3 linked regions of the Kluyveromyces lactis genome follow. The protein of the gene in region 3 purifies or fractionates together with the protein of the main gene of each other region. This does not show direct contact. Links are inferred from orthologs where the notes say so. Each region holds a gene or a part of one and is shown on either strand. Other genes may lie near its edges. The genes, in order: ORC6, ORC1 and HAT2.

Evidence for each region.
Region 1: the proteins of HAT2 (region 3) and ORC6 purify together in Saccharomyces cerevisiae (affinity purification with mass spectrometry; 3 studies listed by BioGRID). This does not show direct contact. The link is inferred for Kluyveromyces lactis from reciprocal best matches to the Saccharomyces cerevisiae genes HAT2 and ORC6.
Region 2: the proteins of HAT2 (region 3) and ORC1 purify together in Saccharomyces cerevisiae (affinity purification with mass spectrometry; 3 studies listed by BioGRID). This does not show direct contact. The link is inferred for Kluyveromyces lactis from reciprocal best matches to the Saccharomyces cerevisiae genes HAT2 and ORC1.

What each region holds. Positions count from the first base shown.
Region 1 is NC_006042.1:2,246,102-2,249,147, forward strand, and holds ORC6 (origin recognition complex subunit 6), read right to left. Parts: upstream 1,816-3,046; coding exon 565-1,815; downstream 1-564. Other genes in the region: NMA111 (Nma111p), read right to left, coding at 1-305; histone methyltransferase SET1, read left to right, coding at 2,160-3,046.
Region 2 is NC_006038.1:453,244-457,552, reverse strand, and holds ORC1 (origin recognition complex subunit 1), read right to left. Parts: upstream 2,837-4,309; coding exon 176-2,836; downstream 1-175. Other genes in the region: ECM7 (Ecm7p), read left to right, coding at 3,309-4,309. UniProt on the Saccharomyces cerevisiae protein: Component of the origin recognition complex (ORC) that binds origins of replication. It has a role in both chromosomal replication and mating type transcriptional silencing. Binds to the ARS consensus sequence (ACS) of origins of replication.
Region 3 is NC_006040.1:76,093-79,321, reverse strand, and holds HAT2 (Hat2p), read left to right. Parts: upstream 1-1,408; coding exon 1,409-2,635; downstream 2,636-3,229. Other genes in the region: KEL3 (Kel3p), read left to right, coding at 1-1,120; POL5 (DNA-directed DNA polymerase), read right to left, coding at 2,838-3,229. UniProt on the Saccharomyces cerevisiae protein: Regulatory subunit of the histone acetylase B (HAT-B) complex. The complex acetylates 'Lys-12' of histone H4 which is required for telomeric silencing.

The sequences.
Region 1 (3,046 bases), on a different chromosome or scaffold from region 3:
CCTGTTGCTTCCGACACCAAGGCAGCTTCTGAATCGAAAGGTGCGACTTGCGAGAAATGAATTGAGACCACCGACTTAACAACTTTGGAGATAGTTTCTTGCCATTTAGCGTTGTTATTGAATAAAGAGTTGCCTGAATCTATAGGTACATCGTTCACTTCATCATAGTCTTCTTCATAATCAATATCTTCGTCTACACTACTTGTGTTCTGATCGACGTCATTGTCGACCCTCTGTTTCTTGGATTCAAGATCAATGTCTTCAACAGATGATTCGAGTAGGTTTCGCTTCAACTCAACAGTCATTTCACCAGTTACTCGGTACGTACTTCGCAGTTGATTATTCGAAGAGTAATCCGATCTCCAGAGTTCTGACAGACGGTAATGTCTCTCTTCAATTCATCTCATCTGCGCTCTCTATGTTTAGTTATCTTCTTTTTTTTCATCTTGCCGTTCCCTTCGGTAAACGTCAACGTGAAAAATTCATTAGAAAGGTAATGAAAACGTATTGAATGATAAATGCGAAGATGGGGACGGTGAGAAGAAAGGTATCGGAGGAAACCATTCATGTGCCATCTCTTAGACTGAGGTCGACCATAATTCTTCGTTTCCAGTTTGAGTATTGCTCTTCTGATACGACTTCATATTCGTCTTGTAACATGCTGCCTATTCTGACGGCGATAGCGTTATCGAAATCCGATCCATCGTAATAATCGAACTTGACACGGAGTTCTCGGTACCATTTCTCACCGTCTATTAGTTCTTTTGTGATCTTGATAGCTTCCATGATATCTTCATCATTTGTTGTTCTCATTTGTGCCGCCATCTTCTTCATTAGCTTGTTATCGATTGTACTGTCCTGATTTCTCTGTTGGTTGAAGACAACGAACGAGCAAAGAAGTACCAGACCACAAACCAACTGTGTAGGATACGCTAGGTAAGTAGCGTTGTTATTGAATTCGGAAATTATGGTAGCTGTTACTTCTTCAGGAAGTTCAAATTCATTGCACAGAGTCACCAGTTCAGCGGTAGACGGTCTATAGTATTTTTTGTATAGCATGTTCCATTCGTTATACTTACCTCTTTTCTTTCTTGGTGAAGGCGTGTATTTAGAAGGGGAGTCACGAAAGGGTGACTGTCTTAATGGAGATTCAGGATCATCCTCAACTGATCCAAACACTTGTGGTATATTGATCATATCAGTCTTATTCTTCGGGGTTGCTAATATGGGCAACGGAAGGCCATTTTCTGTATCAGCTTCAAACACTAATTTCCTCCGGACACTTGACCTACTCCCTTTGCTAGGTGAAAGATCAACATTCTTCAAGGGCTGGATACCACTTTTAGTTCTTGATTTCGACGGAGTCTGGAATAGCTGTTCTTGTAACGACTTCGGATCTATCCCTGTGAATCTTGCATTTTTAACCGCTGACTTTCTAACCGATGGTGATGCAGTATCATCAAACTTCAGCAATTGTCCTTCGGTATCCTTTTGCGGCGAATGAGGCCATATGTTTCTCTTAAATATATTCACAAGTTTGGATACTTGGTCTGGTGGAAGCGGGATCTTCTCCTGAGAATATGGTAGGTCATTGTCATACTTCTCAGCTAGTTTCTGAAACGCAATCAGTGCACATATATGGCACCGAGCAAGTTCCTCTGAATTCTTCAGCATCACTTTCGATACTGAAACGTTGTATAATGTTGCTGTAGTAGAAGCCACTTTCTTTAACCGTTGGTCTTGCCAGTCAACATTAGAATCATTTTTGACCCCTAATAAATCGGTTACACACGTTCGTACTTGCTGCGTAGACATCTTAAATTATTTCCACGGATTCTTAGCACTCTAAAGTGACTAAAATAGGATCATCTACTCACTTGTTGTATTACACTGGCCCGGAAAAGACATATATCTCATCTCATCTCCATGGACCATTTTTAACATAATATTAAAAACAGTCTTTATGTAGCTTTTTGATCTTTTTCTGATTTTCTCGATTTTCTCCAATATTGAAACAAAATATGGTAAATAATGAAATTGAATATTAATCAAAAGTATCATTATTCGCTTCTCCATCTATAAGTTCAGTTTTGGCAATACTTCTAGTATTTCATCTAGCATAAGTTGCTATTCCAGCGTGTGTGTATATTTTAGTTCTCATGAGTGGGTACTATAATAGACAGTACTCTCATTTTCATGGGAATAATGATCGGTACCAAACCGGACGATATGCATATCAAGAAAATGGGAATAGGTACAAGGGCTTCCAACGGAATGGATCAGGGAACCGAAGATACTCCCGCGAGGGGTTTGGGTCTCAACTTAGGAATAATGAGAACGAATCTCGTCCAATACGGTCGCAGTCGCGTGGTATCAGCGAGATTCCTCGTAATCCCTTCGCAACGCGTCCAGTAGTGAGTGCGAAATACGATCGCGATGAGTTTAATACAAAATATCATTATTACGACATTGTAAGTAAACGACTACGAAATGAATCCAGCTTCAAGAAATGGAAATCTGAGAAGATTCCTGAGCATGGATATGTGACAACAACGGAGTTGATTGCATCGGATAAGCAAAAACCAATACTCATGGCCAGGCAGCCTGAACAAACTTCGGTGGATCCGAGAATACGTCCTATGAATGGGGATGCGGTCTCTGGGTCCATTTCTGCGAAAAAGAGATATAGAAAGCTTAGAAGTGCATTGGTACGCAACTCGCGAATTCCGTATGATTCTTTCTACATTGGTCCTGAACCTCCAAAAGAAATCATAGTATACCCTTCTGCATCTAACCAACAACCAATAGCAGCCGCATTATCTGAAGCAATAATCAAAAACTACTTTAAATCATTTGGTGAAATAGCGCATTTTGAACAGTTCATGGATCCAAATAGTGCATTGCCATTGTACGTCTATCTAATAAAATTCACTGGTCCAGTTTCTCAACCTGATGCTCCATATAAAGCTGCTTATAAGGCATCAGAGAAATTCAAAGACGCACCTTACACAGTATCAGGTATCAAGTTCAATGTCATTTTAAACCA
Region 2 (4,309 bases), on a different chromosome or scaffold from region 3:
TAAAGAATGAATAAACACGGTAAAATAGTAGTTAAAAAAATGCATCCTTTATTATATCTTTCTATCTTATAATTAAATAGTTGAAAAAGCAGTTTCATATTCTACTTAACCGCTACGCTACATGACAACCTAAGTAGCAATTATAATAGCAGCAAAGGCGTCTTGAAGGCATATACTAAAATGTCTTCAACATTTCATCTTCATGCAAGCATTGCTCCGCATCTTCCATGGAAATATTTAATTTGATCGTCGAGAGCCTCTCATTCTTCAAATATTGCCTTACTACAACACCTGCATCCAATAATTGCAATAAAATATAGTCCCAAGACACGGCCCTTAACTGTTCCTTTGTATCAACAGAATCATTTTGGAATAAAATCCGTTTCAACTCTAAAATGTATTTGTTATTCCCATTGACATCAATGAGGAGCCTCATTTCTTCTACGATATCACCAAGTTGTACGTCAGTTTGCTTCTTCTTAATTAAATTGATTAATGCGTATAGGAAAAGTTTTCCGCTAAATGACAGACCAGATATGAATTGTTGTTCCGGAGAGGTCGAACTTTCGTTTAATGCCTTGGTAATATGCTTAATTTCTACACTCTGTAATTCTTCATTTCCTGTACCATTGCCACTAGTATCTTTTTTGGAATTGACTAGTCGCTCATATCTAAGCCTCTTTAAGTAATCATTTTCCGCATATTCTACCGCTCTTTTGACCACCTTTAAAGCTCTCCGCACATCACCACTGACACTAGCAATTTTTCTTGATGCAATCTCAATGGCATCAGGATTAATCCTAAGTTTTAGTCGTTTATAGTTAGAGAAGTCTTTTCGCTTTTCTTCTTCATCAGTTTCTATAGTACTACTATCCGGAGAGATCATGTACGAACTCCCTGTCTCCGGGTCGACATAGAAACTAGATTCGTTCAAATATTTAAGTCTCAAATTGATGATTGTTCTAAGCTCTTCATGCGTGTAACCAGTGAACATAATTCTAGTAAAACCAATTCTGGACGAAATCTTGTTACCAAGATGGCGTTCGGGGAGATCTAAGGTGTTTGCGACAGCTACAACAATAAGTTTCGCATTTGAATAGGTAGCCCAGTTAAAGAAGTTGTACATTACATCTTGGCTCTTGCTAACTAATGCATCAAGCTCATCCAATAACACAACGATAGGACGTTTTTTCGTAGCTGGAACTTTGTTAAAATAAAACTCCAGAGATTCCATGGCAGCTCCAGATGTAAGCTTTTCTCCAGATATTTTTTGCCAAAAGACTTCATAACTATCACTTGCTTTGACAATCTTTAAACCATTGATTTCAATGTATTGGAATCTTGGAAGTTCTTTTTGGTCTGCAGATGTCATTAAATCCTTAACTACCTCTCGAACCGTCAAAGTTTTACCAACGCCTGGCGTCCCGGCAATGTAAATACTGGTGCTAGTGCCTGCTTCAATTGCACTGTAAAGTGAGAGGTATATACTTGCAAATTCATTTTCTCTTGCCGGAAGATAATTGTCGAAATCAGCAGCTTTGACAATTTCTTCTTTGCTATTCCTTGAGTTCAATTGCTTCTTCACCTTAGAAAAAATAGTCTCCATTTTGCCTTTAGCAGAAACTGTTCTGAATCTCTCCTCTAATGCAGCTATATCCAAATCATTATTATGCCTTTGGAAAATATCGTTCAAGTCAGGAATATCCTTCGGATTCTTATACCGTTTGGAAAATGGAGTATATGCCTTTTTAGCGCGCACTATATTATTCTTAAAGAACTTTCTAGGAGATGAATGAACTGCTGATGGCTGCAATGGAGTCTGTGATTTTACTGGTGAAATGGGTATATCTGGTTTAATAGATCTCACCTTTTTCTTGGCAGGTTCTACAATTGCAAGCTCTTCTGCAGACTGGTAATCTTCAAACTCTTCATCACTGTCCGAAGAGGATGCGTTTGCAAACTCTTCTTTACTTTCGTGATATTCAGATAAATCCGATTCATTATCTGATATAGCTTCCTTTTCGTTAACAATAGTAGATGCAATGCGTTGGACTTCAGCGTTGGTTTTGCTCACTGTTTGTTGAAAGCTTTTTTTGCTTGGTGTGTTGTCGGACTGCAATTTCGTCGCCACTACCTTCTCTCGTGCGTGGACCTTGGATTTATTTAAAGGTTTTGGAAGCTTGGGTAAAGTAATATCACGCAAATACTCCAGAGACACCTTAGGATTCGAGGAACGTATTTTTTCTTCAAAGAAATGTATATCTAAATCCGCCAGATTAGTTCCTGAAGGCAAGCATGCAGATCGACATAAAAACATATTAGAATCCATTTTCCCTTCATTGACAGAGTCTAAATACTCCTTTTCATTTTTAATATTAGCTACAAATTGCAAGTCCCGTAGATAAATCTCTGAAAGCTCAGCTGTCAAATACAATTCGTTCTTTATCGATTGTGACGCGAAGGTTTCCTCAAAAAATTTGTCACCTTTTTCCTTATTAGTCTCATAAAACTCTCCATCAAGCTGTTTATATCTTTCCGCAGCATTGATCTCGTACCAACTCAAATAGTTCAAACACCAGAGTTCTACGTAATTGCTTGTATTCAATCGCACCTCATGGATCATATACGCTGATAACTCGTCTGCACCCTCTACCTTGCACACAATCGTAACACCAGGATAAAGTCTGACTCCATCGTATCGTACCAAATTAATCACTTCATGTTCTGTAGCATCTCCTCTTCTTCTTCGCCTAGGAGTTTCAGCAATGAGATTCCCCTTCAAGTCTGTCTTCTGTATTTCCCATTGAACTTCAAACTCAGCTAACGTTGACGCCATGCCTAATAAACTCGCTACCACGGAATAAAAAGGAAAAATAATCAGATAACCGTTAAAATGCAGTAATTCCTTCCTAAACTAGTAGTAGTTACTTGCTGGCCAAGTATGTTGAAATGACAGCTACCTGTTTCCGTAGCATTCTTTTATCTCATAGCATATTGGTTGTTACACGGTTCCTCTGTTTACTGAATTAAGATCGATCTTGAAACATCAAATACGTGTAAAATGATACATAGTTTTCCCATTCCTGACGTCTAATTTTAAACCTTGAACCCTGGCAGAAACAGATCAAGAGATTTATCTCAAGAGTGATGACATGATAAACAGAATGAATTCTGCCAGTCAATTAACGAAGGTGAAGCAGATAAACACAGAAGAATAAAGGCAGCTGGCCTGCTGGAAAAAAAATTGAACAATTTCCCACGTTGATAGAGTCATACATAAGAAGCTTTTAGGAGCTTTATAAAAAGAAATGAGGTTTGGAAGTGTCTTGGCGAGGAATATATCGTTATGGAAATACTTAAAAGTGACCCTAGGACACCTCAACGCATTTGATAAGATGATGTTATGGCTGCGAGTTATAACTTCAGTGGGAATTATCGTTTTTGTCCTTGTTTTGACTGCTATTTCTGCCGCATCACCAAATTCGTTATATTTAGGACGATTGGACACTTCAAATGTTAACATTTTGCAGGGACTATTTGATAAGCTCAGCAGTTCTGTTGTCAGTGCAAAACTGTCTGATATTAATAACGGAGCAGGACTCACAACAGCAGAGATTCTTTTACTCACGCGGTATGTAGACTCACAGGTCCACGACGTGCCCGATTATATAAAGACAGGAGTTTACGGATGGTGCAGCATGAAACATGCTTCTCAAGAATTATGGCAGCCTGACGGTACTTGGAAGGAGGAACATAACTCTACAAAGGCTATGACTTGTCACAGGGAAGGAGCGCAATACTTATTGAACTATAGAAAGCTATTAGATGACCTAGGTTTGGGAATAGTGTTAAGTTACGCATACGGATATACTTACAACGATGGTGTTTTGGATCACGACAATGCAGAAAGTGCAAAATACAACAAATTTTTGGCTGCTTTGTCGAGAAGAAAAGTCAACATGGTCAATCTACTTTACGTCGTGGCAGTATTGGAAGTTTTCATATTGGGATCGATTGTCTTGTACTACATGATCAGGAATAGACCTGAACAAACCATGAAAACCAAAATCCTCCTGCATTCTATATCACTAATGAAACTATTGGTGTTTATTTGCTCTTTAGTAGCAGTCATAAACTTTACTATACTATCAATCAACATTCGTCAAAAGATTTCGAACGAACTTGATTCGTTTGGGTTTTCATATCATCTTGGAACTGGTTGGTTCACATGCTTGTGGATCTTTGCATTTTTCAATATTATATCGTGTCTCGTCTGGACGGGTTTCGAGTGGTGCATCACGAATAATGA
Region 3 (3,229 bases):
AGCCGGCAAAGGCTTACAAAAAGGTAAGATTCTATCAGACTGTTGGTATCTGAAGATGAAATCCGATCTGGGTTCCATTAGATGGGAAAGAAGGAAGAAACAGGGTTCCCAACCATCTCCAAGAGTTGGCTGTTCTATGGTTCATCATAAGGGAAGAGGTGTTTTGTTTGGAGGTGTCTACGACTTTGAAGAAACAGAAGAAAGTCTAAGATCAATCTTTTACAACGAACTATACACATATCAGATAGAAAATAACAGATGGTATGCAATGTCCTTGAGACCTCAAAGGAAGAAGAAGAACTTCGTTCAATCGAAGTCCAACAGGAACAAAGATAAAGAACTTGAAGATATTTTGAATCAAATTCTTGATAAAGCTAACTTGCGTGACGCAGAAGACGACGATGAAAGCAAGGTCATTGAAGAACAATTAAATCAGCTAGATCTTATAGATTTTGATGATGATGATGAAAGCGACAAAAAATCAGCTAAATCCTATGAAACTATGTCAACTTTGCCTCATGCCAGATTTAACGCTGCGACTGCTGTTGTGGATGATACGTTATTCATCTTCGGTGGTACTGTTGAAATTGGCGAAAAAGACTATCCAATCGACTCCTTTTACAGCATTGATATGAACAAACTTGATGGGGTGAAGGTGTACTGGGAAGAGTTGAAGGAAGTTGAAAGAGCAGAGAAACTTGGAGAGCAAGATTCTGACGATGAATTTGGCGATGAAGACGACGATGATGAAGACGACGGTGAAGAAGAGATTGTTGACAGTAAACTTGAAGCTGAAGACGAAGAAGAAGAAGAAGAAGAGGAAGAAGTGGAAGAAGAGTACGAAATTCCGGATCTTAGACCTTGGTTGCCTCATCCCAAGGCTTTTGAAACCCTTCGTGCATTTTACGTTCGCACAGGTCCTACTTTCTTAGAATTGGCTATTTCCAGTAATAGAGACTCAAAAGGTAAGCATTTGAAGACAAAATCGTTCGAGTTATGCCAAGATCGGTGGTGGGAAAGACGTGAGCAAGTTCGGATTGAGGAAGATAAATTAGAAGAACTTGGAGGGGTCGAAGATGTTATTGAAAAGGATACATCAAAAACCCAACGCCGAAGGTAATCTAGTAAAAGTTACAAAATATATACAGTACTTAGTTGATGAAGACGAAATATTAGATGCTTTTCCCTGTATTCTGCATTCTGACAGTATTTTGAGGCAGTTGGCTTTTACCATACATTAATCCAAACACGTGACTTTGTTTGAATTGCACTGTCGCGCCCCATGAAAAACGCTTTAGGATATTCGATGGAGGATTAATAAAGAGTGCAATGAACAACGGCTGGTTTGACACATACTGTGAGAGCCGGATAACGTATCCAAAGATCAGATAAATCCAATAGACTAAATATGACTGAAGTAGAAGAACCTGAGCAACCCACAACAATTAATGAGGAGTACGATTTATGGGTCTCAAATGTGCCAATGATGTATGATTTTGTTAGCGAGACGCGACTCACCTGGCCGTCACTAACTGTACAGTGGCTTCCAACCGAGATGCAACCTCGAGAAGTTGATGGACAGCAATTATTGAGACAAGAGTTACTTATTGGGACGTTAACTACTGATAACGAGCCGAACTACTTGAAAATTGCTGCCATTGACCTGCCGGAAAACGTCACTTCTTCTAAACCAAGTGTGTCCGATGATGCGAAGGAAAATGAATTGAGCCATCGTCAATCTAAGATCAAGATAGTGAGGAAGTTCAAGCACGAACAAGAAGTCACCAGGGCAAGATACATGCCTCAATCGCCTAATATAATTGCAACTTTGAACGGAGCTGGTATCGTATACATTTTTGATAGAAATATTAAGGAAAAAGATCATGGCGCCATTGCCAGTTTCTCCTATCATAAAGAGAATGGATATGGATTGGCGTTCAATCCCACTGTTTCTGGCCAGCTACTTTCTGCATCCGATGATGGCACTGTTGCTTTATGGGATGTCACTTCCACTGCAAACAAATCGCCGTCTCAAACATTTGATGTGCATACTGATATAGTAAATGACTGCAAATGGCACGAATTCCAAAGCAGTTTATTTGGAACAGTATCCGAGGATAACACATTAATAATTCATGACACCAATAGTGATAGGGCCATTCAAAAGTTATCGGTCTCCTCTGCCTTCAATACATTAGCATTCAGTAAGCGTTCAGAAAACCTTCTTGCAGCAGCAGGTACAGACTCTAACGTCTATCTCTATGATTTACGTAGATTGCAAAAACCATTGCACTCAATGGCAGGTCATGAAGATTCTGTTACCTCACTCGAGTTTTCTCCTCATCAAGATGGATTATTAACTTCAAGTGGTTCTGACCGAAGAATTATTATGTGGGACTTATTCAATATTGGAGCAGAACAACAACCAGATGACGCATACGACGGAGTTCCTGAGCTATTCATGATGCACGGCGGTCACAGAAGCCCCGTTAACGAGTTTTCTCATAATTCAAATGTTCCATGGCTAATGTGCAGCGTCGAAGAAGAAAACGTTCTTCAAATATGGAAACCAGCGAATAAGATTGTCCGTCCTCCGCAACCGCCAGCTGATTTCGATATTACAACCTTAGAATAGTTAAGTTAATGTCTATAATTTTCTATAAGTTGATGCTATTGAGCGTTACGTATGAAACAAAGAAACAAAAAAAAACATAAGAGGAAGACTGACATTTAGGAATACTAGTACGAATAATAGTCTTTCTTTTCATAATATTGTTCTGTTAGTGCTAAGTTTAAAAAAGCTTGATGACACCCCGAGTTCGATCGATATTACTAAATTATGCAGCTCTCTTTGTTTGAAGCCAGTTTGAAAAATCAATGAAGAAATTAACTGTGCATTTTCCGTCTTTCATCCAAGCTTTCGACGTGTCTGCATATAGATCAATCAAGTTCTCATGAGAACCACCGCTGGAGAGATATAACTTGGACAAAAACAATGAGGCTAAAGAACAGGTGGAAAAAAACAGTTGTTGAAATTGTCCTGGCTTGGCAGTCATTATGAGCTTATGGACTTTTTCCAGTAAATGAAAGATTTCTGAAGTAACTGTCTTCTCTTCTTTTGCAATAGTTGCCTTAACCTTACATAGCCTTAGTTTCATTAGTTTAGCGCATTTGTCTGCTAAAGCCTTATCCAAAGTGTGTTGCAAACATTTTAATAATGGTAAGATGA